7 linked regions of the Danio rerio genome follow. The protein of the gene in region 5 interacts with the protein of the main gene of each other region in a pairwise test. Links are inferred from orthologs where the notes say so. Each region holds a gene or a part of one and is shown on either strand. Other genes may lie near its edges.

Region 1 (3,500 bases), on a different chromosome or scaffold from region 5:
ATGATATGAATCACTGTAAGAGTCTTTTCATAAACTTACTCAGTAATTTATTGCTTGTTGTGAACAATTCATCTTTTTTATTACTCAACAGATATAGCAAATATTTTGTGACTTATATATTATCATAAACATTTTCTACAGAACATCCATGTCCCCAACATTTAAATCACCTTTTCTTTTCTTTGTATATAAAATTGTACAAGCATATTAAATTGATAGTAGGTTAACTGATCTATAAATTTACATATGTAAATATTTTATATTTTCAGAAAAATATTAGTGTAGACAAGCTCACTGGCCACTTTATTAGGCACATATTACTACTACCGCACTGGACCCACTTTTGCCTTCAGAGCTGCCTTAATCCTTCATGGCATAGATTCAACAAGGTACTGGAAATATTCCTTAGAGATTTTGGTTCATATTGACATGATAGCTCATGCAGTTGCTGCAAATTTGTCGGCTGCACATCCATGATGCAAATCTCCCGTTCCACCACATCCCAAAGCTGCTCTATTAGATTGAGATCTGTGACTGTGGAGGCCAGTTGAGTACAGTGAACTAATTGTCATGTTCAAGAAAATAGTCTGAGATGATTTATGACATGGCGCGTTATCCTGCTGGAAGTAGACATTAGAAGATGGGTACACTGTGGTCATAAAGGGATGGACATGGTCAGCAGCAATAATTAAGTAGGCTGTGGCGTCGACACGATGCTCAATTGGTACTAATGAGCCCAAAGTGTGCCAAGAAAATATCCCCTACACCATTACCCCACCACCACCAGGCTGAACCATTGATGCAAGGCAAGATGGATCCATGCTTTCATGTTGTTGACGCCAAATTCTGACCCTACCATATGAATGTTGCTGCAGAAATGTTGCTGTGAGCCTGTGTGAATTGTAGCCTCACTTTCCTGTTCTTAGCTGACAGGAATAGCACTCGATGTGGTCTTCGGCTGATGTAGCCCATCCGCCTCAAGGTTGGATGTGTTTTGTGTTCAGAGATGCCCTTTTGCGTACCTCAGTTGTAATGAGTGGTTATTGTTGCATTTCTATCAGCTGGAGCCAGTCTGGCCATTCTCCTCTGACCTCTGACATCAACAAGGCATTTGTGCCCAAAGAACTGCCACTTACTGGATATTTTCTCTTTTTTGGACCATTCTCTGTAAACCCTACAGATGGTTGTGTGTTAAAATCCCAGTAGATCTGCAGTTTCTGAAATATTCAGACCAGCCCGTCTGGCACCAACACCTTTCTCCTCCTTCTGATGCTTGGTTTGAACTGCAGCAGATCATCTTGACTGTGTCTACAGGTCTAAGGGCATTGAGTTGCTGCCATGTGATTGGCTGATTAGAAATTTGTGTTAACGAGCTGTTGGACAGGTGTACTTAATAAAGTGGCTGGTGAGAATATACAGGTACCTGTTTGTGTCTATCATATAATTTTTTAGCTATCAATAACAATAATCAAAATACTTATCTTTTTCTTCATTATACAATTTTTAAGCAGTGCTCACAATAAATATTCATACATATAAATTAATAAATAACATATAAACAAACAAATATAATAAAAATATTTCTACTTCTGAGATCTTGTCTTTTTCTTTAATGCTACGCACGATTCTTTTACATAGATAGTTATCACATAAGGACTATTAAAGTACTTAATTTTCATTTTCAATCAAATTCGATATATGACATCAAATGCAAAGCTCCAATTATTTGTATTTGTCTCTAATTAGAACATGATGACGGATACTGTACAGGAAGTGACCTCACTGAAGACCCAATTACAAGAAGTAATTTCAGAGAGAGATGAGCTGAGAAATCAGCTGAGGTCAGTATTAAAAGCATGCTGCTGTTTTTAAATGAGAAATAATTTACAGGTCTGTTTATGTGATGCCACATTATTTGTGTTTGTCCAGTGTCCTGAACAGCTCATTGCTGGAACAGTCAGAGAGTGTGCAGAAACTGCGCACATACATTGGCAGCAACATCCCAGAGAAAAAAGAAGAGGAAGAGCTTAGACGCCAGATACAGGTACAGGGTGCATTGGAATGCCACCAGCTTATGTAAGTTGCGGTGCTTGCATTAATATTTTGTGTCATATTTGTGTATGTGTGCAGCATTTGGAGAAGGAAAAGGAAGCCATGTCTCTATCTGTCCAACTGCTGAATGTCAGAGTGAACGCAGCCAATGACATTCTAGCCATTCAGGAGAAAGAGCTAGGTGAACAGGTAGGGTTGCACACATGCAGAGATGTGTGTTTGGTGTTTGGATGTTTATTTAGTACATTTGGTGGTACTTCTACTATGTGTGTAGGTGCAGATGGACCCGTTGTGCTCCGGCAGTAAAGCTGGGCAGATGTTGAGTGTTTGGAGACAAAAGGTCTTTGTTCTGCTTGTTAAACTGCAAACCCAAGACTTACAACTCCACACGGAGAAAACACAGCTACATGACATGGTAATGTAAACACTGATCCAAGTAAATCTATGTAATTTCATAAGCATATTTAATTCAATTCACCTTCATTTGTATAGTGTTTTTACAATGTAGACTGTGTCAAAGCAGCTTCACATAAAAGATCAAAGTAAATTGAAATAGTGTAGTTCAGTTTTAGTAGTTCAGATCCCGAAACATGCAATCTAGTGGCGACAGTGGCGAGAAAAAAAAAACTTTACCAATTGGCGAAAGTGTAGAAAAAAAAACCTTGCCAGAACCTAGCTCAGATGGGCACGACCATTTCTCCTCTGGCAAAATGCCTTGTGCGGAGCTGCAGTCTAAGCGACGGAGTCTGGAAGGTGGGCCTCAGCAAAGACTCGTCTGTCCCTGGAGCATCACAAGAATCGGTCTCATGCTCTCCACTCCTCCATGACCACAACAGCAGCTGCTCAGGATACGGCCTGGTCCAGGATATGGAAACCTTAGAATCATATTTATACTTCTAACCACTAATGTCAATAGCTTGCTTTTTTTTATTTGCTCATACCCATAACCCTGCCCCCAAACCCACCCCCCCACCGTTTTTTTTTTTTTTGAGAAATTATTATTTTTATGCAATGAGCATGCATTGATAGGATTTAATAAATGGCTAAAAATACTTTTTATGTTTAGCAAGAATTAATTCAATTAATAAAGAATTTGTTCATCAAAAAAATTGAAAAATGTATAATGCTCCTGACACGTTAAGCAGATCCTTTGTTTTAAAAAATAAGAAGAGTGCTTAAGCAGCATATAAGGGTTTGATTTCTAAAAGATTATGTGACACAGAAGTTCCGAGTAATGACTTCTGAATCTGAAATCCAGAAATCCGTTCTGGAGGGCCGGTGTCCTGCAAAGTTTAGTTTCAACCCCAATCAGACACACCTGGGCTAGTTAATCAAGCTCTTACTAGGCTTTTTAGAAACATCCATGCAGGTGTGTTGAGGCAAGTTGGAGCCAAAATCTGCAGGACGTCGTCCCTCCAGGAAGGAGTTTGGACACCCCTGACATAAAT
Region 2 (3,500 bases), on a different chromosome or scaffold from region 5:
AGTAAGATCTGACAAGTGTCTTTCACACATATTCAGATGTAGAACGCAGGGAAAGCACCGCATAGAAAGACACTGCAGCGCTGCTGAAAATTGTGGGTGTTTACAGCGGTTTGATGGAAAAATATGAATTTGTAGCTGAATAGTTAATAATGCCAAACAGCATTTCCTGTTGTTACATCCTTGTTTACGTTCTTGCTGTAACATACCCTTAACGCTTGAAACAATGCATATAATTGATCAATTTTAACAAATAAAAACACTTACAGGTTGTGGCTAACAATTCAAAGCAACCCACAAATGCTAGCTATATATTTTTTTAATTCTCTGGAACATAATTAAAATAAACTGTAAGAACTTCTCTCTTTGTGTCGTGTCCTTTAGTAGCCCAAATACAGGAACAGAACAAGCTGCCTGGTAAAGCAGTGTTTGGACGGCATTTTAGCTTTCTCTGCTATAACATTACAATGCCTTTGGCCACGTGCCTTCACTGCGCAGAGTGCAGTGGTGCGTAAACTGAAGTGTTTGTGATCTCACTAGCCTGGATGTATTTTTTGTAGTCCTCAAACTTTGTTCGCTGTAGGCTTTGCTAAGCTAACTCTGTAAAAGCCAATGTCTCCCCTTTGCATTGAACTTTCAGTGTATTTCATTCAGAGATGTTGTTTATGTTCACACATCAACTAAAGTTTAAAGTATGACATCGTACCACCCCTTTAAATAAATTCTGCTGTTTATTTTTTCTAAAACATTGTGCTGACTCTTTACTCTGGGGCTGAAGATTGAAGTGTGTTCTCCATGTTTTCCTTTTTTTGTTATAATTCAATGTTATTTACCAACAATTTTAGTCTTCTTTGTAACACCTCCGAACAAAACCCCTAGACATAAAAGAAGGTCTTCACAATGGTATGCAAAATTCCACACCCAGGTAAGAAAGTGATAGCCACTTGATGCCTAAAAGGTTGCCAGCCTCTGCTATACACACACCTGGCTGAGAGGTGAAGTGACTGTGAACTGCATAGCCTTGCTGCTGATGGGGCAGGTACTGCATGGTCTGGAATGCTGATGCACCTTAAAACAGAAAGACATAACATCCCAAATTCATACCATGTTCTCATAAAACAACAACAAAAACATAAATAATACAAGCAAGGCACCTCTTAGTTGTGAACTACTGGCATAGTTGGCTGGCACAGGCTGACTGGAGGCAAAAGGTGATGTATGCTGCGTCTGGGTGACTCCATACGGGCTGTGACCTGGCTGCGCTCCCGAATATTGGCCGTGCTCTGATCCACCTGCACTAAATCCTGGCTGAGACTGGAAATGACGTGCCTTGGGCAGCAGTAGGAGATGAGCACACAGATCGACAATAACATAAAACAACTGTGAGATTAAACTGAACCAGGTGACTCTCGATACTAAATGTATATAGGTTTGAACATTGCAGGTACAAACAGTTTAGGCTACATTGACTCACAGGAATGACCGGAGACTGGAAGAGCTGTTTACTGCGTTCCCCAAGCAGAACAGCTGGACGGCCATGACTCACCTGACCCGCTGATGGGAAACAAGCATGGAGCAAAATCAAGTCATGGCATTTTAAAATAAATAAAACAAAGCAAATAGTCTAAATGACACTAAAGATGATAAATAAAGGTCACCTTGCATGCTAAGAATGTGCTGGCTAGGGTGGATAGGCATGTTTGCCTGGTATGTGGCTGAAGTCAGGGTTGTCATGTCACTGTAAACAAACAAAAGAATTGTATATTATTTGGTTGATTCATTTAAAAGTAACATGTCTTGCAGTTTAAAAAAGTGATTTAGAGCATTTTTAATTTCAGAAAAGTACAGTTCAGAATAACCAATGTTTAACCTGTTTTAGATCACAAGAAAGATGGACACTTGAATTATTTTAGAAGATTAGAACCTTTCCATGTTATTTATTTATTTTTATATAATAATTTTTTCAGGGTTTTCACCTTGATTTTTTTGATAGGACAGTAGAGAGCATAGGGAGCAGAGAGAGAGGAAGGATCGGCATAGGACTGCAAGGCGGAATCGAACCCGGGTCGCCGCGAGCACCGGAGTGCATGTGTCGACGCACTAACCACTACACCGCTGCGCCAACATGTTATTTTTTTATTAATTTATTTTTCTTTTCTTTCCTTTTATATAAGAGTAAAATGTTAGTAGTTTATTTTAATATTATTTATATATTTTTATACAACCTAAATGTATGTGTGCGACAGGTTTTGTTTGTTGTGTTTAAAATAGAAAAATTGAAAAGCTGCAGAGCATGGCAGAGTGTGTGTGGTTATGTGATGCATGTTTTCAGAGGTGAACTGTGGATGGGGATCATTTCAGAAACGCTAGGTGAAATGCCAGTGTAGATGCAGATCGTTTTCATTCTCATACGCTGTTTTAAAACTAAAATTCTTAAATTCTTGTGATTGTAAATATGGATTATTCCACCAAGTACTGATTTCATATCTATCTTGAAGTTAAAACACTGGTACTGTGTAGTCTGAAAGTACATGTGTAGTATGAAAATATGGCATCTTTCTTTTTTGTTTATACAAACCAAAGCACTAGCAGTTCACAAAATATAACAAAAATTACATATTTTACTCAAACGCAAAACTATACAATAAAAAAATTTAAAAAAATTTCAGTGTTCTCTTATTTTTTCTCCTTTGCTCTCCTCTGAAAATGTATATACATTTTTTTCTCAATTGCCCTCCAGTGAAATCTTTATTCTTATACAAGTATCTCCCAAGTGATGTTAAACAGAGTAAAAACATTTTTCAAAGTAATTCCTATTATATTTTTCTTCTGGAGAAAGTCTTAGTTTTTTTTTGTTTGACTGGGATTAAACTAAAACATTCAAACTGGTCAATATTCTCAATAAAAGGTCAATACTATTAGGCTATTAAAAATGTTGTTTTTATTGGCTACAGAACAAACCACTGTTTACCAATGACTTGTCTACTTAAGCCAAATTGCCTAATTAACCTAGTTAGGCCTTTAAATTGCACTTTAGAATTAATACAAGTATTTAGCAAAATAACTAGTGAAAATGTATTTACTGTAATCATGGCAAAACAACATTAAATTGGTTATTAAACTATTATGATTTAAAATGTGTTTGAGAAAATTAAACAGCTCTTGGAAAATATTTAAAAAGCAATTCCAATTTCACAAGTGGGCTAATAATTTTGCCTACAGCTGTATATAGTGTGTGTGTGTTTTTTTAAATATTTACCTCTGTTCTTTCCGACGTCTTTTCTCCTCTTCATGTAGAACTTTTTTCAGTTGTAAGAAAAGCTGGTGCTTCTCCTCTTGAAGGCCCTGCAGCTTCACTCCCATCTTCATAATCTAAAGACAGAACAAAAGAAATTAAGGCTTGCTGAGGACTCCTGAACAATAATCCTGCAACAATATCTGCAAATAACTCCCAATGTTTAAATGAGCCAATCATACAGACTTACTTGCTCTTTAGTCTCCTC
Region 3 (3,998 bases), on a different chromosome or scaffold from region 5:
TGTTTTAGCATGTTTTAGCTTATTGCTGGTGTGTTATTAGCATGTTTAGCATTTTGCCATTGTTATTTAGCATGTTTTAGCACATTGGTAACATGTTCTTGCATGCTGCTGGTGTTGCTAGCATGCTTAGCTCATTGCTGGTGTGTTTTAGCTAATTTCTATTAACAATATTAACATGTTTTAGAATTTTGGTAACATGTTCTTGCATGTTGCTGGTGTTGTTAGCATGTTTGGCACATTGCTAATATGTTTTAACATGTTTAGCACATTAACAGTGTGTTTTAGCATGTTTTAGCTCATTGCTTGTGTGTTATTAGCAAGTTTTAGCATATTGGTAACATTTTACTTGCATGTTGCTAGCATTATGTTGCTAACAATGTTTTAGCAGATGTTAAAAGCATATTTAAGCACACTGCTAGAATGTTGAGGCCCATTTAATTCACAAAAAGGCACAAAAAACCTTGATCGGATCTTGATCTTTGTTAGTATTATTTTATAGTGTTTATTATTAATAATTAAATATAACAATATTAATATGATTGATAGAATATTGATATATTTAATTAGCTTTATTTTTCTTTTTTTTAAGTAGGTGTTACTACTTCAGCCTATCAAGGCTTATCAAGGAACGCTTTTTGAAGTTGAAGTTTAATTAATTACATTTAATTCGGCCTTCATTACAATTGACAGATTCACTCCGTAATTGATTTAGTTGGCTTTCAAATACATATTGCTATTTGCTAATAAACTTACCTTGTATATATTCAGTGAGTAAAATATAGTCCATAAACAAGTGCTTGACATATCCTGCCATTTACATTATAGTAATTTACTCTACAGCGCCATCTACTGGACACCTTTGAGATTTACATGTATGAAACCAAAGCCATACTTTGGTGGTTTACGGTGTGAAGGACGCTGTAACAGTGATGAGTAAATGTAAAACACCCTTGATAAACTGTTTAACATGCTATAAATGAAATATACTGTTCAAACTAAAGCAGTATATGGTGTAATAGGCACAATAGTAACACAATGTGCCTAATATAACATGAGTATGTCATCATTTCCCTATTGTATCCAGAGTGTAAATTATTGCACAAAAACCAATGAAAAATGTACAAAGTGCAGTCAAATGTGCGTGAAAACAACACTCCCTCTTTCAGGTTTCACTTCCTCATGACCAAACTTCAGCTTCAGTCAGCATGAAAAACAGAAGCAGGAACAGTAAACATGACCTCTTATAGAGACACAAGTGAACTTACACTTTCAACTTCAGCAGATTATTCGATGTCTGTGTGCACAGGTGAGTCAGTTGTTTTTTAATATTACCAGTGTGTTGTGCTGTAATATAAACACTTTTCTTAAAGTTGTTCTTTTGTTTCTTAAATCAAGACTTGTTTTCTGGTAAAAAAAAAATATAGTTTTGTTTTCAGAAATATGTCAAATTTGGATGACTTTCTAGTTGATCATTTAGTATCAGAAGTGGCTTAAATGAAAGGCAAAGGCCTCTAGATGACACTTATTATACCACAATAAAAGATGATCATGCCTTGATTTTGAATGATTTCATTAGGATAGAAAGATGACTTTGCTTAAACAAAAGTCTAGATCAGGAATAATGTCCAGTATAGAATATAAAGTCCTGCTGCAGTGGAGACAGAATGAATATTGTGTCTGACTCCATCATGAGCTTGGAGGACTGCATCCATACATCTCTGACATGACTCAAATCACTGATTAATAAAGTCATCTGGAATGGCAAAGAAAGCGTTCTTGCAGGACTTCCAGAGCTCATCAAGATTATTTGGAAGCATCTTCAATGCCTCCTCCTTCATGTTACCCCAGACATGCTCAATAATGTTCATGTCTGGTGACCGGGCTGGCTAATCCTGGAGCAGCTTGACCTTCTTTGCTTTGAGGAGCTTTGATGTGGAGGCTGAAGTATGAGAAGGAGCGCTATCCTGCTGGAGAATCAGTTCTGTGGGTGCAAATGTCTTGTTGATGCCGGAGGTCAGAGGAGAATGGCCAGACTGGTTCCAGCTGATAGAAAGGCAACAGTAACTCAAATAAGCACTCGCTACAACCGAGGTCTGCAGAAGAGCATCTCTGAACACACAACACGTCCAACCTTGAGGCGGATGGGCTACAGCAGCAGAAGACCACACCGGGTGCCGCTCCTGTCAGCTAAGAACAGGAAACTGAGGCTACAATTCACACAGGCTCACCAAAACTGCACAATAGAAGATTGGAGAAACGTTGCTGCTCTGATGAGTCTCCATTTCTGCTGCAGCATTCAGATGCTCGGCTCAGAATTTGGCCTCAACAACATGAAAGCATGGATCATCCTGCCTTGTATCAGCTGTTCAGACTGGTGGTGGTGGTGTAATGGTGTGGGGGAGGTTTTCTTTGGGTCCATTAGTACCAATTCAACACCACAGCCTACCTGAGTATTGTTGCTGACCATGTCCATCCCTTTATGAGCACAGTGTCTCCATCTTCTGATGGCTACTTCCAGCAGGATAACACACCATGTCATAAAGCTCAATCATCTCAGACTGGTTTCTTGAACATGACGATGAGTTCACTGTACTCAAATGGCCTCCACAGTCACCAGAGCTCAATCCAATAGAGCAGCTTTGGGATGTGGTGGAACGGGAGATCAGCATCATGGATGTGCAGCCGACAAATCTGCAGCAACTGTGTGATGCTATCATGACAACATGGAGCAAAATCTCTGAGGAATATTTCCAGCAGCTTGTTTAATCTATGACACAAAGGATTAAGGCAGTTCTGAAGGCAAAAAGGTCCAACCCGGTACAAGTAAAATGTACCTAATAAAGTGGCCAGTGAGTGTATATGCTTTATATGTTTGTTTCTAGAAAAAAATAAGCTTTTCTAGTCTATTAAATACTTCTTCATTTAAGAATTTGTAGATATTTACTAGAAACAAGTAAAACAAGCATTTCTGGTTGCAGTGAGTGATGCTAGATTGCCAGTGGTTGTATTTTCTGTCATCTGCACAGCATTGCCACATTTTCTTTAAACCATTTCCTTTAGAGATCTAATTTTGCCCAACTTCCTGAGGAAGTGCGGCACTTTACCTTTCACCGCATGGAACTAATGTAATGTGTAAGTTTAACTTTTATTGCATCAGAAAGTACTGAATGAATTATTATTATTGTGTTGTTGAGCGGACTAACATTTTTCTTGAGGAAATGCTTAAAAGGGTCCTATTTTTACAAGATGTAAAACAAGTCTCTGATGTCTCTAGTGTGTGTGTGTGTGTATGTGTGTGTGTGTGAGGTTTCAGCTCAAAATACCACACTAATAATGGTGATAACTCTCGGAAACTGACCCTTTTAGGCTTTGATCCTAAGTGTGTTTTAGTGACTGTCACTTTAAATGCAAATGAGATTGTGCTCTTTTCAAAAGAGGGCGGAGCTATAAATGCCTGTGTGTCAGCATAGTGGCAGATTCAAATACAAGACTGATGTCATATTCTTATAAGGGAGAGATGGTCACTAGTGGGCGGGGCTTTCCTCTGATGACACGTACAAAGGGAGCATGTCAATCAAAGTGTTTCTGCAGACTGCTTTCATCAAGTGCGATTATAATAATTACAATTAATACATTTTTTATCATTGTAAGCTGCTTATATTCACAAACAACTGTGTTTAAAGTGATTTTTTTCAATATGGGCACATAATATTTCTTATTTTTGCATATTAGATTTCCTTACAGAGAGCTAAAATTATCAGATCTTCATGGAGGAAGAGGAAAAACCACCCAACACCACTGCTAATCACACGGTTTCATCAGCTCCTGAGCATTTATCACCCCACCAGGAAACGTTACAGGGTAATGGAGAGTGTAAGTTGATTCTGTATGATCATGAGATCAGATTTTGACGTGATGTCCTCTGGGTGTGTGTTTAACGCATCAGACCTGTGTTGATGTGTGTGTACTCACCGGCAGCTGCAGAGGATGATCTGTGT
Region 4 (3,500 bases), on a different chromosome or scaffold from region 5:
TGTTGACAACTTTTCTTGGAGGGAAGTTGTTGTCCATACACTGAAAACCCTGGACCTCAGTGTCAAAATAGAATCTTTGTAGTCATTTCTGACAACATTTTGATTTCATGTACATTAGGGATGCTCATTCGGTAAATTTTGCCAACTCACAACTGCCGCTGGTTAACCGAATATTACCTGGTCAGATTAATATTGAATTATTATTTAATTAAAAATAATAATGGACGAGTCTATTTTGTGTCTGACATTATAGATATTGCATAAAAAAACAGATTTATTTGAACATGTGAACAACAGCATACAGAACATATTAACAACAGCACATCACCTGCAGTGTTTCAAACAGCACAGAAAACATTCATTCATTTTTTTTTGGCTTAGTTCCTTTATTAATCAGGGGTCGCCACAGTGGAATGAACCACCAACTTATCCAGCATATGTTTTACGCAGCAGATGCTCTTCCAGCTGCAACCCATCACTGGAAAACACCCATAACTTCTCATCCACACACATACACTACGAACAACTTAGCTTACCCAATTCACCTATACCACATGTCTTTAGACTTATCACTCTTTATGAAAAATATGCATTTAATCAACGGAAACCCCGCCTCTGCTTTCATTTGATTGAAAAATGGAAAAGACGCAACTGACGTAACACGCTTTTTCCACTCAGAGTTTTTTCAATTGCGGGCACACAGAACGCAACGGCAAAAATACAATGTGCGCAAGGTGCCACAAAACGCTCACAGTCTTTAGTAAACCATTCAAAAGATGCCCCTCTCAATGCACAAAGCGTGTTTGCTGTGATCGTCCCCTTGTGCACAGGGGCCGTTTCTGGTATCTGGCTGAGATCAAGACCTTTTATTACGATTGGCTAGCTAAAGCGATGTACTCCTAAGAAGGGAGTGATCACCAGAAAAGGGAAGTCCTAGAGTAAAATGAAAAAATATGATACACCGGGGTTGTGGAATATGGAAAAACTGTCTCCACACGGTTTGCGTCTGTTTTTATATTATTTGTTTCTATTTTATTTATACTTGTCTCTTTTATTTCGGTTTATGTAAAGCACTTTGAATTGCCACTGTGTATGAAATTTGCTATATAAATAAACTTGCCTTGCCTATGCAGCCATACTTTAAAATTATATATATATTTTTTTATCATTTAACTGTTTGCGTGGAGAGTATTTCTACACTTTTCTGTACTATACAACTGTAAAATGGCTAATGCTTGAATGAAAAGCCCTCTGTCCAGACAGGTCTGACTCCATTCAGGACTGGGGGCTTTTAATGGTTTGACCATCCGGGGCCCGATATATTGCTGAATGACGGGGGGAGGAGGCACGAGGGAGGGGTGTCAAAGGGGGCATCACACAGGGCTTTCTGAGAGAAATGTGTTTTGAAAGCAGAGAGCAAAAGAGAGGTATAGAGAGAGGGAGAGTGCCGGTTTAGCTGTGCGTTCTATTAGACGGATCAATAGCTCAGTGTGGGAGAGAGTGTCTTAAGAGCTGTTGTCCTGCGCTTTCAGCTGTGGCAGACCTGTTAGTGCTGGCAGAGGGGTGCCGAGTGCCAGTGTTACCAGCTCTGGCCCGGGGGCGGCTTTTAGTCCACACACAAATGTCAGACCGCAGATAGACTATTAGTGTTTAGTGCAGTTATTAAATGGACTTTATTTGTCCTTTAGGAGGCTAAAAGGCATGCTTAAAGGGGGGAGGCTACATGACAGCGCGGCAATTTAGCCGGTTTGGTTACTCTTCGCTAGTCGCAATGCAGCGAGCGCGAGTGTAAAAGGAGATCAGGCTTTAGAGTATGTGTGTGTGTGTGTGTGTGTGTGTGTGTGTGTGTGTGTGTGTGTGTGTGTGTGTGTGTGTGTGTGTGCGTGTGTCTGGAAGGCACTTAGGCCATAGCGTATCTCACTGGAAGCTGAGAGCAGCCTTCTTGTGGTCAACAGTGCTCTAAAAGGTTAATGTTGATCTATACCAAACAAAGCCCACGGGAGGCTTTTAGCATGGCCAACAGTTCTCATGCTGATGAAATAGGGCCATGGGTAATCTTCCAAACAACATAAATACCTCTGTCAGCTATCTAAATAGAGATGGTCCTAGGGCATCCTGACATAGAGATGCATTCAAACCCCCATTAAACGGGTGCATGCCACTGGCCAAAAATAACATCTGTTCTTTTGAACGGGGGCAGTAACAGATGAACACAGTCCAAAGTGACCTACGCGCCTATCTGCCAGGAAGAGCATCCATGGCTAATGCATATGAAACAGCGGGCCGAGCTTCAGCGGTGTCGCCACCCTTATCAAAGAGCGCGGAACATGAAAAGTCGCCGGTTTAGCCAGGCAGTAAATCACAACGCTCTCTGTGTTTGTCTCCCTATCGCCACAGGTGTGCCGATGCTCTCCGTCCAGCCCAAAGGAAAACAGAAGGGATGCGCCGGCTGCAACCGTAAGATTAAAGACCGCTACCTGCTCAAGGCCCTGGACAAATACTGGCACGAAGACTGCCTGAAATGTGCCTGCTGTGACTGCCGCCTGGGGGAGGTGGGCTCCACCCTCTACACCAAAGCCAATCTCATCCTCTGTCGCAGGGACTACCTGAGGTAAGAACACGCTCCAGTCAAAGTGCTGCCAAAGCAGAAAGGGCTTGTTACACCTCAGGCTGCATGACATTCAGAAAAGTACACCCTCATCTAACAGCCAATGATTGCCACCCTGCCTGTCTCGTTCCTGGCCCTGTCCTCTCCCTGTTGCGTTTATCTGCTAACTTGCAGGGTTAGAAGATAATACTTTTTTTTAGCTTGTAAATGATGTTTTCTTTGAGGCTGTTCCAGAAGATAAAGTGCTTGTTCTTTCCTCATCGCAGTGTAGCGACCAAGACTCTGTGTGTTCCAATTAAATCCCACTCGTGCAAATAGCTTGGAGTGGCATCTTTTAGCGGTTGTTTATGTTTAGAAAGGTGAAGTTGCACTTGTTTACATAAATGTGACGTGTCTCCCATTTTCTAAGTTGAGTGATAAAACGTTGTGTATGAGTGCATGTATGGACCTTCAACTCACCCCAGGCAGCTAAGTGGCAGAACCGCAGGTCTAAGGATCTGTTTTGCCTCCTATCTCTGAGCCATCTGCTTGCTAAATTAAACATGATTATTTCCTGGGCGTTAAATCCCAGTCCCTGGGGTCTCCCAACCAGATCCAGTCATTTATCCCCAAGCTGCTCTCCCCATTGAGCCCCCACTGCTGAGGCCCTTCGCAGTAAGACATGCAGTTCAGCACTGTCGTCATTAGGACTCTTAAAGAAACAGTTCACCCAGAAATAAAAATATCATCAGTCACATTCATGTATTGTAGTTTTGAAGTAGTATGACTCATGCTAAATAACATTAAGCCATCCTGACTGCTACTGTATGGAGAAAAATAATCTAATCTTGTGTTTCCGAAAAAAGTGATACAGATTTAATATGAACCCGAGTAAAATATTAAATTTTTTTTT
Region 5 (4,005 bases):
AAAGGCTAAAACAGGTGCAAAAACACCCTGAATAGAATAAGCAACATTTTGATAATAACCAGTACAATAAACAATATTTCCAGGACCACCTAGACAACCAGTGTTTAGTATCAGACATGCACTTTTAAAAGCAGTACTAACCCGTCTCAGCCTGGGGCTGCTGCATCTCCTGCTCTGTAACAGGGACAGTTTCTGTGGCTTCGCCTGGCATTCTGGACTAAAACAGAAATGAGAAACAATACATTATAAGCTTTACAAAGTCTGCATGAAGGTTTAGACATGCGTTAGTCAGTGCTTTGTGTTAATGAGGCTTTTTCTATTGAAACAGCAGCACTCTAGGCCTCTTCCTGTAGGCCTCTGCTGGCTGTCAGCTGTCCCACTACCGGCTCAGTTAAACACTGCTGTTGTCTCAAAGTATTGAGCTACATGATAACATTTCACAAGGCCACCGAACAGAATTTGTGAGCTTTATCAATTGCAAACAGGCAAACTGAACAAATAAGGCTTATAACGTCCCCAAACAGTTCCACACACTGTTCATGTGTGCGCGTGCACTGTGTTGCACATTTCACGTGTGTATCTTAACAGAGGAGCTCTGACACGTTACTGCTGAATGAAAGAACCTCATTACACAAATTACAATAAAACTTTTTTAAAGAAATGAGTTTATAATCCTTTATAATGTAACGTTAGGTTATACTGTTGACACAGCATGCGTTTTTAGAAACGTTACATGTTTAGGCAGCGAAGTTAACTATCCAGCCAGTGTTTATTGTCGCACGTCACGCAACAACCTTTCGTACGATTAAATTACAGATTTCTCACAATATATCGCTATAGTTGTATATAGTGCAACTTTTTGCAGGGTTAACATTTTCGTTAGACACAAAGCCCACGGCTGAAGTATAGCGAGCGGTGGTGCGTCTCGCTCCCCCATTTTGAACAGTCAGCCAGTTGTAATCATCAACATATTTCCTCAATAAGCCAAGCAAATTTACAAATCTTTACCATTCCAAACACAGCTACACTAAAGCATCAGCATAAGCTACAAATTATGTATTGAATTGGCTAAAGCAACGTTGGATGACAATAGATTTTACGCAGGAGTACTCACTAGTTCAGGGCACAGGATCCAAGATGGCTGTGAGAGAGGGTTTCTGACCTCTGCGTCACTCTGATGTCACTGCTCTGCTTCCGGTCCCAACAGGAAGTCACTGTCGGATAAGCTGAAGTCTATAACAAGAAACCACATTTTCAGGTAATTCTGTCTACACACTGTTATTTTTAAACACAATAGTTTATTTCAGAGTTGACCATGACGGAATATTGACAATACCTGATTTAAGGGAAGGTATGTGTCTTTGTTTACAACAGAGTGGCATTGCTAAGCTAACATGATTTTTCTGGGAAACGTTTGCTTCACGCACTCTAAGTTACTAATCAGTTTTTGTCATCCGAGAACAGGGTCCGTGTATCATCCGTTCATTTGATTATTCCTTTTATTACGGAAAACGAAACATCAGAAAAACGATGAATATTTCGTTTTTCTGTTTATTCTGTAGGCAGAAAAAACGGAAACTCATCTGTTATTCTGCTTATTAACTTAAAACGAAATATTAAAACAAACACAAAACCAAAACGAAATAATGAGTCAAAAAATGGTCCGTGTACATTTTGTTCATTTTTTTTCCAGTTTCAAACGGAATAAAGGAAATGGAGAAAACTGCCGTTTTTCCGTTTTTCTTTTGCTCACGAGAAAACGAAAAAACAAGATTTTGGCTGGATTTTCGTTTTTTGGTTTAGGGTAGGAAAACGGATAAACGACTTTAAAATTCATTTTACACATGTAGGCGGTGCTGAAACGCCCACTTTCCTCTAATTGGTCAACCAAATCTGCGCTCGTGACGTCACCCTCAAAATAAAAGCCTTACACGCAGGCTTTTAATTATTATTATTTAATTATATATATATTAACTAAGTTTACAGATTCTATCATTTGAACCACACACATTTAGCAGGCTTACATTCATTGCGTATGTATAAATTAAATAAAAACGTAAATCAGCAGTATTCTTAGACATTTGTCATTAAAATAAGGTCATAGTTCACTGCCAAGCTTCTTGCTGCTGTGCACCTGATGCAGAGCAAAGATAGCCATTTCCGAGCAGCACCTGGTTTACATGATTGTTTCAGAGCTATTGTAGGCCTAAATAATAGCCTACTCTGTATAAAATAATAATTTATTATTATTATTATTATTATTATTATTATTATTATTATTATTATTAGGCCTATTATTAGCAGTATTGTTATTATTATTATTTACTTAGTTATTTAATGGTTGTAAGAACACAATGGACCCTGCATGGGGCTATAATAAATGGTACCTGTTTCTATTGGATTTTCTCCTATTTTAATTTAATATGTGCCTTTAGCCTATTGTAAATATTTATTTGATAATTAATACTTTTTTATTGCAACGTCAAAGTAGGCCTGTCTTATTATTATTATTTTTTGTTATTATTTTGTCGTTGTTGTTGTTATTATTATTGTAGCAGGGACATAGCCACAGGTGTGGCAGAGTGTGCTGGTGCCACCCAAAGTGGCATCTTGCACCTGAAAATAGATGCCTTCGCACTCAAGCACGCGCAAAAAAACTTGCACAGGCAAAAGTAATGATGAATGTGTTGAAGGAAAAAAAAAACATTCTAATTATTTGTTAATTAAATAGTGCAACATTATTCTCAGTCAGTGTAGGCTGAAAAAATTAAGATCGCCAGCATTTCAAGGGTGGTTTTATTTTTAGTTCATTGCTGTGACGCGCTATATTTCACTAAGGCTACATGAGACTGCGCATCTTGCTTATTTTCTCTATTTTACATACAGAACATATCATACAGTCCAGGTTCTACCGTTCTAGTGAGTGTGGGGCATTGCTTTACGGTGGTAAAGTGGATTATTTCTTGGCAAATTCATAATGATTCACTTTGTTTAGTAATAAATTTCATAGTTATAAAATAACTACATTTCAAGAATATGTTAACACTTTCAACTATTTAGGATTATTTATTGCATCAAAAGTAATTTCAAAGTAACATTAAATGTACGTATAAACTGCTTAATTTGTGTGTGTAAACACCTAAGATGCAAAAAGCTTATTTAGACCAGAATAGGCCTACTAAATGCAACGGTCAATGTATGTAAACTTATGACCTAAAATGTCTTAAATGACTAAATGTAAGTCTTTTTAAGTTTTTAAATAATTTAAGTTTAACATAAATGATTTAAACTTTAAACTTCAAATTAACAGAGTATGGCAAATAAATTGTTTATTAAATGGAGGTCAGGTGTCTATCTTAATTATAATTATTAAATATTATGACACTACAGTGGTGTATTGGAGAGTACGCACCTTTTAATTAATTAATTTTAAATAAGTGGTTTATCCTAAATAAAATGCAATGGGATCGGTGTGCAATGAATAGTTTGAAAACCCCTGGTTCAGACTAGACGAGCTAGCTGTCTGTGCGCTGCGCTAATAACTTGGCATTTGCTCTTTTCGGTGCTGCCAGATGCATTTATAGTGCATAAAAATAAAAAAGGTAATTCGGTAAAGCGCGCGATGCGCGCAGAAATAAGCGCACTATATGCATATGTCGAATTAAGTTCTCTTTTTCTTTAATCAAGACTTTTCCATTCGAGGAATTACAGTTATTAATAGCTTAATCCTTATAAACGATCAGTTTATAAAATACACAATTTACGGATCAAGCCTAATGAAGAATAAGAAGAATATGCAACGCATTATGATCCTTGAATGATCAGAGCGCATTTATATAAACTATATATTTTATATATTCCATAAATATTAAAAAACATTATACATTTAAAGTAATAAAACATTATATGTTATAAAATCTAAACTATTATTTAGGCTACAGGCTGTTCAGCGCGTGCGTCAAAGAAAAGACATGACACAATCTCTATAAAAACTAGTTGTTTATT
Region 6 (4,107 bases), on a different chromosome or scaffold from region 5:
TTGTTCATTCATTCATTCATTCATTCATTCATTTCATTTCATTTTCGGCTTGGTCCCATTATTCTTGAGGGGTTGCCACAGTGGAATGAACCACCAACATTTCCAGCACATGTTTTTTTACACAGCGAATGCCCTTCCAGCCGGAACCCAACACTGGGAAACACCCATACATTCTTGCATTCACACACATACACAACGGCCAATTTAGCTTATTCATTCACCTGTACCACATGTCTTTAGACTGTGAGGGAAACAGGAGCACTCAGAGGAAACCCACACCAACACGGTGAGAACATGCAAACTCCACACAAAAATGTCCCAGCCAAGGCTCTAATCAGCGACCTTCTTGCTGTGAGGCGATCATGCTACCCACTGTGCCACCGTGACGCCTATCCTTGTCTTTTTTTTTTTTTTTTTGGCAAAAAAATACTGAACTGCATTTTCATTTTAAATTTCAGTTCCATCAAATGTTACAAAAGCAATCCAACAATGCAAAATGTTAATATTTTATACAAATTTTCAAGATTATTTAATTATTATTGGCAATATGCATCAATCTTATAAAGCATATGAGCCAAAACACTGAACACTAACGTGGAAGTGAAAATAAGGCATGGCTATTAGCAGTGGGACACAAATAACAGTGTTACTTTCGTCGCCACAGGAACTCTTGCCATTTAAACCTGCTTTACTTTTAAACTGAAAAACTTAGACATTGCAAACTGAAGGATGTGTTATTGCACTAAATAACCTGTAGATTGGTCATTACCGTAACACATGAAAAGAGAAACACAACTTGTAATGAGGAAAAAAGTAGCATACACTAATTTTCTTTTTCCACTTCAAAACTGAAATTTAGACCAAACTGCAGGACAAGGTCGCAAAATCAGCTGATATTTGTCATCTCCATCAAGGGCTGCATGCTAAATGTGCTGTTATAGCCTGGAAATCAAATGTAACAATGCTTTTGTTACCCACTCTCCGCTACAGTTTCTTCCTACAGTTTTATAATGTAATTGTCTACCACGCTGTATAAAATATGTCTTAAATCAGCAAGCTATACAAAGATAAAATGGCTGTACTGTGCTAGTTTGTGCATTGAAACTGTTGTCTCACAAGACTACACTCAATATACATATAACGAAATCCCTACAAATTAAAGGACAGCAACTTTCCTTTATTTATGTGGCCACTAAGATAAGTTAAATTCATTATAACTAAATTTAGAGCAAACAAAATACACTAATAGTTCTTTTAGACTACATTACCCATGAGTCTTGTTAATAACAACGACGCAACAAGGTCCCGGAAGTGACGACGAAACAAATGGCACCAGTTTCAAAACAGCTGTGTTCACTGACAACTTTAGAAATGGAAGATCATATTCGCACAGAACTGCTTTGGAGAGTACTAAATCACAAATGATAAAGTTATGTAGTCGTTTTTTTCTTTTCGTATCTTGTAAAACATGGAGACAACCCCGATAAAACCAACAGCAGCTGATGAAACTACGCCAAGCGCCGAGCAGTCTTCAAACAGGTCCAGTACTGCAAAGGTAAAGCTTATTGTCTTTTTGACTTTATACGATATTTGTTTTCACATAAACTAACATTAGCGAAAAAGATAGATCACTTTTTCTTTCTTACATGTTATTTTTCGTCGAAACATAATTCTGCTGCATGTCTGAGCTTTCTTTTGATCATTGTTGACATTGTTTTCTTCAGCCCATGAGTGCCTCGCTGAGGGAGAAGCTAAAAAGATCTCGACACTCGTTCAAGTCTCCCCTCAGTGTGGTAAAACGACTCAAAATAGAGGATGACACTGAGCCTCAGCCTTCACAGCAGGGAGAAGAAGAGAAACACGGTGTCAAAGACGACAGAGACTCTAACGTTACAGAGACTGATGTCAACAGGAATGACATGAAGCTGCAGAGAGACTCGAACCACACAGCTGAGCTCCCCAGTCAGCAATGCGAAGCGCTGAGAAAAGCGGTGAAGGAGAGAACAGAAACCTTGAGGAGATTAAAGATGGTCAAGATGTACAGGAAAAAGGTAAATATAAATTCGTAAATTATGGCTGGGAGACAACAACAAAAAACTAATATAATGAAAATATAATATAAGTCATCTCATATGTTGATATATGTATATATGCCTTTTTGTAAGTTCTGTAAAAAATTAGAAAATTAATGGAGTTTCTAAATTGACCACTTGGAATTTTAAAATTACGTTTTTATTTTAATTTCTATACTAAAAAATTCTATATGTTTTTTAAATTTTATCCCTTAATTTAGAACTCGAGGGACACGAGAGAAGAATGTAGAAACTTGAAATAAATATTAATGAAATATAAGTCACTTTTCAAAAACTAATGATCGCAGGCACACCATAACAATATGCTTAGATATATTGAAAAATCATTGTTATTGCAGTAATAGTATATGCAATATCCAAATCTCTTGCTGATATTCTCTTGCTATATTCTCTAAGCACTAACTGTTCCTTTGTATAATTAGCCCGTGCTGTATGTACTGCCTCGTACTGATGATTTGCCTCAATTGTAAGTCACTTTGGACCAAAGTGTGTGCCAAATGACTAAATGTATATCACAGGGAAGTGCAATAAATTAAATTACTTTTATGTTTTTGTATTTCATAGAGGCCTTAACTATCTTAATGCCCACCTTTACAGTAGGTGAACCTAGAGCTGAAAGTGAATATTAATGCTGGGAGACAAGATATTAAATTGACAGCAGCCAATGAGAATCAGAACTCCAGCAGTGGTTTTCAGTTATTCAAGGTGTTTTAAAGTCTAAATGTTTGAACCTTGACACATTTTTTTAAAATTGGCTCAAAGAATCATATACCTGTCTATTTTAGTATAATCGTAGAGTAAATAAATTATTTTTGTCAAAAAAATTGCTAATAAAAAGTTTGTTATATCATAGGAAATATTGTTATTGCAACACTCAACAGTACCATCGCATATTGCATATTTTCTCCAGTATCGTGCAGCCATAATATAAAATATATTCACGTTTCATCCAAATGGTGAAAAATGATTACATGCAAACATTGTATTTTGAGATGCCACAAACTAAATGACAGAGTCTAATATAAAGCGATACTTTTTATTTTGTACTTCTGATGAATATCACCATAAGTAAGTAAATGATTTATTTGTGAGCGAAGCATACTGCTCTTGAAGCTGTTTTTCTCTCTCCACAGAATGACTTGAATGAGTTGCAGAGGCTCACAGACAAATGGAGATCCTGTGCTCAGTCTGTGCTGTATGAACTACAGAGAGAACTGGCCACAGGTGGAAAACAAGCCAGTCTTTCACAACTTATTGACAGCTTTGGGATTAATGATAAACTACTGCACTTTGATAGGACAGAGGAAGACTTCACAGACACGTGAATACATTTCAGCAATTTTTATTCACAGTTCAAACAGATTGCAGCGAGCTTTGTTCATTAAAACGTTTGCGAAGAAAGATTGTCAATTGATTGAACTGTATAATAATTTATTGCACCTTTGTGTGTTGTTTATTGTTTAGGTAAAGTTGTTGCGTTTTGTATGTAGAGTCAGTTGTAGTGCAGTTGCGAGAGAGACGGGAAGTTCTTCATGCGCAGTTTCTCCAGCTCCGCTCTCAGCAGGAGCAGCTCTTCAGACTGAGCTCTGGCGATGGCCAGCAGCTTCTTTCTCAGGAGGATGTCCTGGTAGTTCTTGTCTGACTCTGTTTCCTGGTTATCTTCCATTGCTGGAAAAAGAAAATGTTATCAAATTTTGTGAGCTGTTCAGGCTCCTATGCATTTTTAGCACCATTAATAAATATGGATAAACAGCTATGGTGAGTCCTAATTCATCAACCATAGGCAGAATGTACAAATCGTTTGTTATTAAAAATATATTTTTCTTTAATTCGATATACTTCTGTTCATAGGGTATTTTTTAAAGAGTTCTTATTTAACTTATAAACATTAATCAGTAAATGATGATCAATATATAGATACACAATTTGTTTATATGAAGGCCAAGCTGAATAACTCCAGTAGTCAAATTATTCATCAAAAAAAGCATTTTTGAGCAGTTTAATCAATCTCTGC
Region 7 (3,500 bases), on a different chromosome or scaffold from region 5:
TCATAAAGCAATCCCTTGGTTAATATGCAGTTACTATGGCTTACTAGTATTAAAAAAAATACTATGGCAAAATACCTATTTAAAATAATTTGTTTATTGAAATCTGGGGGGAAAACCCTTTTCTACTTAAATGATGTGTAAACTATTGTAATTGTTATCATTCTTAATGCAGTTCTTGGTATTTTGTACAGGTGTTGGTGGAGAATGGAACCAAGGAAGGTCATCAAATCCTTATGGAGGCCAGAGATGCTATACTAAAGGTTAAACTGATATTTTTTTGTTGTTAAAACATGACTTTCCATTTGAATAGTAGTAATACAACCTATGCATCCTTCAGAAGTACCTAAACGTGTCTGATTTTTCTATTGTAGAGAGAAGATGAGATACTGCATGACCCGAGGAGACCATCTATATTTGCTCCTGTGCGTTAAAACATCAAAATAACTTATTTCTGAAGTTTATTCTTATTTTTTCATCTTTAATAAGATATATTAAAATGTTTTATGCTGACATTGTCATCTGTATGGTTTCAATTTGGACAGTGCACGCACGAGCTGAAGTGTCCTAAGTTAATCAGGCAACCTGTGGTACCTTGTAACTTCTTCCAGTTCTACTACTCTCTGCCTCTATCACGGGTAAGTCCACAAATTTAGTTTCTGAATTGTGACAATCACCTCGAATGACTGAATTTCAGTTCAGTTGTTATCATGGCATGGACATATTTGAGGTATTTAGACAGTAGTTAAAGAGATAGTTCACCCAAAAATGAAAGTTTACTTAACATTTACTCCCCCTCAAATGGTTATAAATGAGTTTCTTTCTTCTGTTGAACACAAATGACGATATTTTGAAGAGCGCTGAAAGCCTTTAATCATTGACTCAATGAATCATTTGATCATTGAAACAAACACTATGCAAGTCACTGGTTAATCAAACAGTTTTGGAGCAAGTAAAAGATGAGTAAATGATGACAATTTTTGGGGGAACTATCACTTTACGATGATAGTTTATGAAAAAATAAGTAGGATAGGATAGGATCGAGTTTAAACAAAAAAAAGGAAAAAGGTGCTACAACGTTGCTCTAAGCAGACAACAAAATAAAACAAACAAAAGAATTAAGCAAAAACAATTAAGAACATACATTGTTTACAAAATAAGACCATATATAAATATATAATATATAAAGCACAGAACACAGTTAACGTACTACAGGTGCTCTGTTCTTGGTAGAGTTTTATCGAGGTAGGAACAAACGAAAGCGTTAATCTATTGGTTTTACGCATTGGCATTCTCAGTCTTTTTCCTGAAGATAGCAGCTGATATTCACTGAAAAGAGGATGTTTGGAATCAGCACTAATATTTATTGCTCTTCTCATGACCGCCTGATCATATAGAGTCTGTATGGGCTCATATTGTTGCATTCCTATCATTTTCATGGCTGCTTTTTAAATATAACCCAATTCATTTTTAAATCGAACAGAAAGATTTCCAAACCAGACTGTGATTCCATTGCAAATAAGACTTTCAAACATAGCTCGGTAAAAAATAAACAAGATATTGCTACCTACCCCATACAATCAGCATTCTTAAAAAATAAAGCCTCTGTTGTAGTTGTGTGCACAAGCTGTCAGTGTGTGTTCTCCAACAAAAAAACACTGTCCATATAGAACCTCAGATATCTGTAAGATGTAACTTGCTGTATCACTGTGTCTTTAATGATCACAGGCCTAAGTTCAGATACACTTCATTGGTCAAGGACCATTTCTTGTGTCTTTTTTACATTTAACACAAGACAGTTCTTGTCACATCACTGAACGAAATTAGCGATTTCACTGTGGTAGTATGAAAGGTCCATGTCTTTGTGTAAAAGACTTAGGATGGCAGTATCATCAGCATATTTCATAATATAAATAATAAAATGTGTGCTTCTGCAATCATTTGTGTACAAAGCAAAAAGGACAGGCGATGAAACACAACCTTGTGGCACTCCTGTATTTCTATATCTAACCTCAGAAAGTATCCCATTGACCCAGACCTGCTGAGCACTGTTACTTTAAAAAGAATTAAACAATATAATTCAGAAAGTACTGACAGCCATGTAATGCGACTTCTCTAAAAGCAGATGTGTCTGCACTGTATTAAATGCTGAACTAAAATCAACAAATAAAATATGAGCATAAGCTTTAGTATTTTCAAGATGCTTGGACACAAGATGAACAATAATGCTAAGAGCGGCATCCTCAGTGCTCCTGTTCTGCCTATAGGCAAACTGACATGTGTCTAAGAGTGGCTCTAGCTCTTTTTCCAGCAATGTGGTTTCAAATGTCCCAAATCTCACTTCAAAACATTAAAAAATGTATATAGGCCAAACTACATCGATACCTATGGCTCCTGGCGATACACTGATATCTTATTAAACATAACCAGGTTCCACGTAAATGCATTCATGAGAGAATGGGACACATTTTTCGTGTCACATAAAGATCAATACACATTTTTGGGAGAACTAGGCCTTTATAACATTCCTCTTTTCTTTATCCCTTTATATGAATCAACTGTCACAGAGCCAGGAAAGGCAGCAGGAGAGGTTTAGTTACCTGATTGTATCCCGTTCAGATGGAGAGAAGGCTCAGAAGGCTGAACATTGGGACATGGCTAGAGTGATCGCACAAGTCCATCGCCGACCCAGACACGTTCAGTGCCAGCTGTGCTGCGTAAATGGAGAACTCAAACAACTGGCTGTGACGGCCCGTCGTCATGGAAAGTATGGGACGCTTTCCTATAATAGATCTCTGCTATTTAGATTTTCAGTGAATGACCTTGACTTGTATTGATTCTAACAGGTTATGCAGGTGCAGTTCATTCTGGTAGTTGGCTTAAGGAATTTGTATTGTCTATTTTAACAGGGACATGTACAGATGTGCTCGTAACAGCGACTGGGGAGATCTGCTGCCAGTCTTTCATAAAGAAGATGAGCACACTATTAATGATGAGACGGAATGAGACCTGCGAGAAATCTGTTCATGCAGCGTGTGTGCAGTGAGGTTGTTTTGTATAAATGTATTGCTTGTTTGCAAATAAAATAGTTCTTGTATGCAACATGATATCTAAATGTCAGTTTTCATGTTATTTTTGTTTTCATGTTAAAAAGTTATCCCAACAGAGGTTAAAAGGCTATTTTTAAAGTCCCAATGAACCAGAAGCTGCAAACTGTGTTTTTTTTTTTGTGTTGTGATGATCACCATTTTAGTTTGTTGTCAAAACTGAGAGCTGGAGATGTGTGGTTTAATATATTAGCCACGCTCAATACCTAATATATATCTAATCTGACAATTTAACTGAAAAAAAATGTAGTTTCAGATTTCAATTAAAGATTAGAAGGGCAAACTATTTTTATTTTCTTAATGTCATGCACAGATGAATTGTTCACCACAAAACTGCCAATGTGAGCTAACAAAATCATATGGTTGGTTTTGATTTCTTTGGGACTTTAAGCATAT

Evidence for each region.
Region 1: the proteins of tfip11 (region 5) and si:dkeyp-20g2.1 interact in binary tests that used the Homo sapiens proteins (3 or more experiments, as listed by UniProt). The link is inferred for Danio rerio from reciprocal best matches to the Homo sapiens genes TFIP11 and CCHCR1.
Region 2: the proteins of tfip11 (region 5) and gps2 interact in binary tests that used the Homo sapiens proteins (3 or more experiments, as listed by UniProt). The two-hybrid records come from large-scale screens. The link is inferred for Danio rerio from reciprocal best matches to the Homo sapiens genes TFIP11 and GPS2.
Region 3: the proteins of tfip11 (region 5) and snx20 interact in binary tests that used the Homo sapiens proteins (3 or more experiments, as listed by UniProt). The two-hybrid records come from large-scale screens. The link is inferred for Danio rerio from reciprocal best matches to the Homo sapiens genes TFIP11 and SNX20.
Region 4: the proteins of tfip11 (region 5) and lmo1 interact in binary tests that used the Homo sapiens proteins (3 or more experiments, as listed by UniProt). The two-hybrid records come from large-scale screens. The link is inferred for Danio rerio from reciprocal best matches to the Homo sapiens genes TFIP11 and LMO1.
Region 6: the proteins of tfip11 (region 5) and sfr1 interact in binary tests that used the Homo sapiens proteins (3 or more experiments, as listed by UniProt). The two-hybrid records come from large-scale screens. The link is inferred for Danio rerio from reciprocal best matches to the Homo sapiens genes TFIP11 and SFR1.
Region 7: the proteins of tfip11 (region 5) and mettl17 interact in binary tests that used the Homo sapiens proteins (3 or more experiments, as listed by UniProt). The link is inferred for Danio rerio from reciprocal best matches to the Homo sapiens genes TFIP11 and METTL17.

What each region holds. Positions count from the first base shown.
Region 1 is NC_133180.1:24,151,352-24,154,851, reverse strand, and holds part of si:dkeyp-20g2.1 (coiled-coil alpha-helical rod protein 1), read left to right. Parts: intron 1-1,746; coding exon 1,747-1,841; intron 1,842-1,929; coding exon 1,930-2,044; intron 2,045-2,130; coding exon 2,131-2,241; intron 2,242-2,326; coding exon 2,327-2,467; intron 2,468-3,500. UniProt on the Homo sapiens protein: May be a regulator of keratinocyte proliferation or differentiation.
Region 2 is NC_133180.1:24,722,553-24,726,052, reverse strand, and holds part of gps2 (G protein pathway suppressor 2), read right to left. Parts: coding exon 3,483-3,500; intron 3,370-3,482; coding exon 3,257-3,369; intron 1,736-3,256; coding exon 1,656-1,735; intron 1,552-1,655; coding exon 1,472-1,551; intron 1,327-1,471; coding exon 1,152-1,326; intron 1,066-1,151; coding exon 982-1,065; intron 1-981. UniProt on the Homo sapiens protein: Key regulator of inflammation, lipid metabolism and mitochondrion homeostasis that acts by inhibiting the activity of the ubiquitin-conjugating enzyme UBE2N/Ubc13, thereby inhibiting 'Lys-63'-linked ubiquitination.
Region 3 is NC_133200.1:38,550,685-38,554,682, reverse strand, and holds the start of snx20 (sorting nexin-20), read left to right. Parts: upstream 1-1,198; 5' UTR 1,199-1,306; intron 1,307-3,732; 5' UTR 3,733-3,767; coding exon 3,768-3,873; intron 3,874-3,972; exon of another isoform or gene 3,973-3,978; coding exon 3,979-3,998.
Region 4 is NC_133182.1:28,158,742-28,162,241, reverse strand, and holds part of lmo1 (rhombotin-1), read left to right. Parts: intron 1-2,397; coding exon 2,398-2,611; intron 2,612-3,500. UniProt on the Homo sapiens protein: May be involved in gene regulation within neural lineage cells potentially by direct DNA binding or by binding to other transcription factors.
Region 5 is NC_133198.1:20,764,276-20,768,280, reverse strand, and holds the start of tfip11 (tuftelin-interacting protein 11), read left to right. Parts: upstream 1-1,205; 5' UTR 1,206-1,258; exon of another isoform or gene 1,259-1,351; intron 1,352-4,005. UniProt on the Homo sapiens protein: Involved in pre-mRNA splicing, specifically in spliceosome disassembly during late-stage splicing events. Intron turnover seems to proceed through reactions in two lariat-intron associated complexes termed Intron Large (IL) and Intron Small (IS).
Region 6 is NC_133188.1:27,958,567-27,962,673, reverse strand, and holds sfr1 (swi5-dependent recombination DNA repair protein 1 homolog), read left to right. Parts: upstream 1-1,307; 5' UTR 1,308-1,468; coding exon 1,469-1,555; intron 1,556-1,724; coding exon 1,725-2,051; intron 2,052-3,226; coding exon 3,227-3,414; coding exon of another isoform or gene 3,415-3,418; exon of another isoform or gene 3,419-3,557; coding exon 3,558-3,561; 3' UTR 3,562-3,585; coding exon of another isoform or gene 3,586-3,761; 3' UTR 3,762-3,847; downstream 3,848-4,107. Other genes in the region: cfap43 (cilia- and flagella-associated protein 43), read right to left, coding at 3,586-3,761. UniProt on the Homo sapiens protein: Component of the SWI5-SFR1 complex, a complex required for double-strand break repair via homologous recombination. Acts as a transcriptional modulator for ESR1.
Region 7 is NC_133177.1:40,850,728-40,854,227, reverse strand, and holds the end of mettl17 (ribosome assembly protein METTL17, mitochondrial), read left to right. Parts: intron 1-191; coding exon 192-260; intron 261-371; coding exon 372-422; intron 423-542; coding exon 543-635; intron 636-2,564; coding exon 2,565-2,764; intron 2,765-2,906; coding exon 2,907-3,003; 3' UTR 3,004-3,104; downstream 3,105-3,500. UniProt on the Homo sapiens protein: Mitochondrial ribosome (mitoribosome) assembly factor. Binds at the interface of the head and body domains of the mitochondrial small ribosomal subunit (mt-SSU), occluding the mRNA channel and preventing compaction of the head domain towards the body.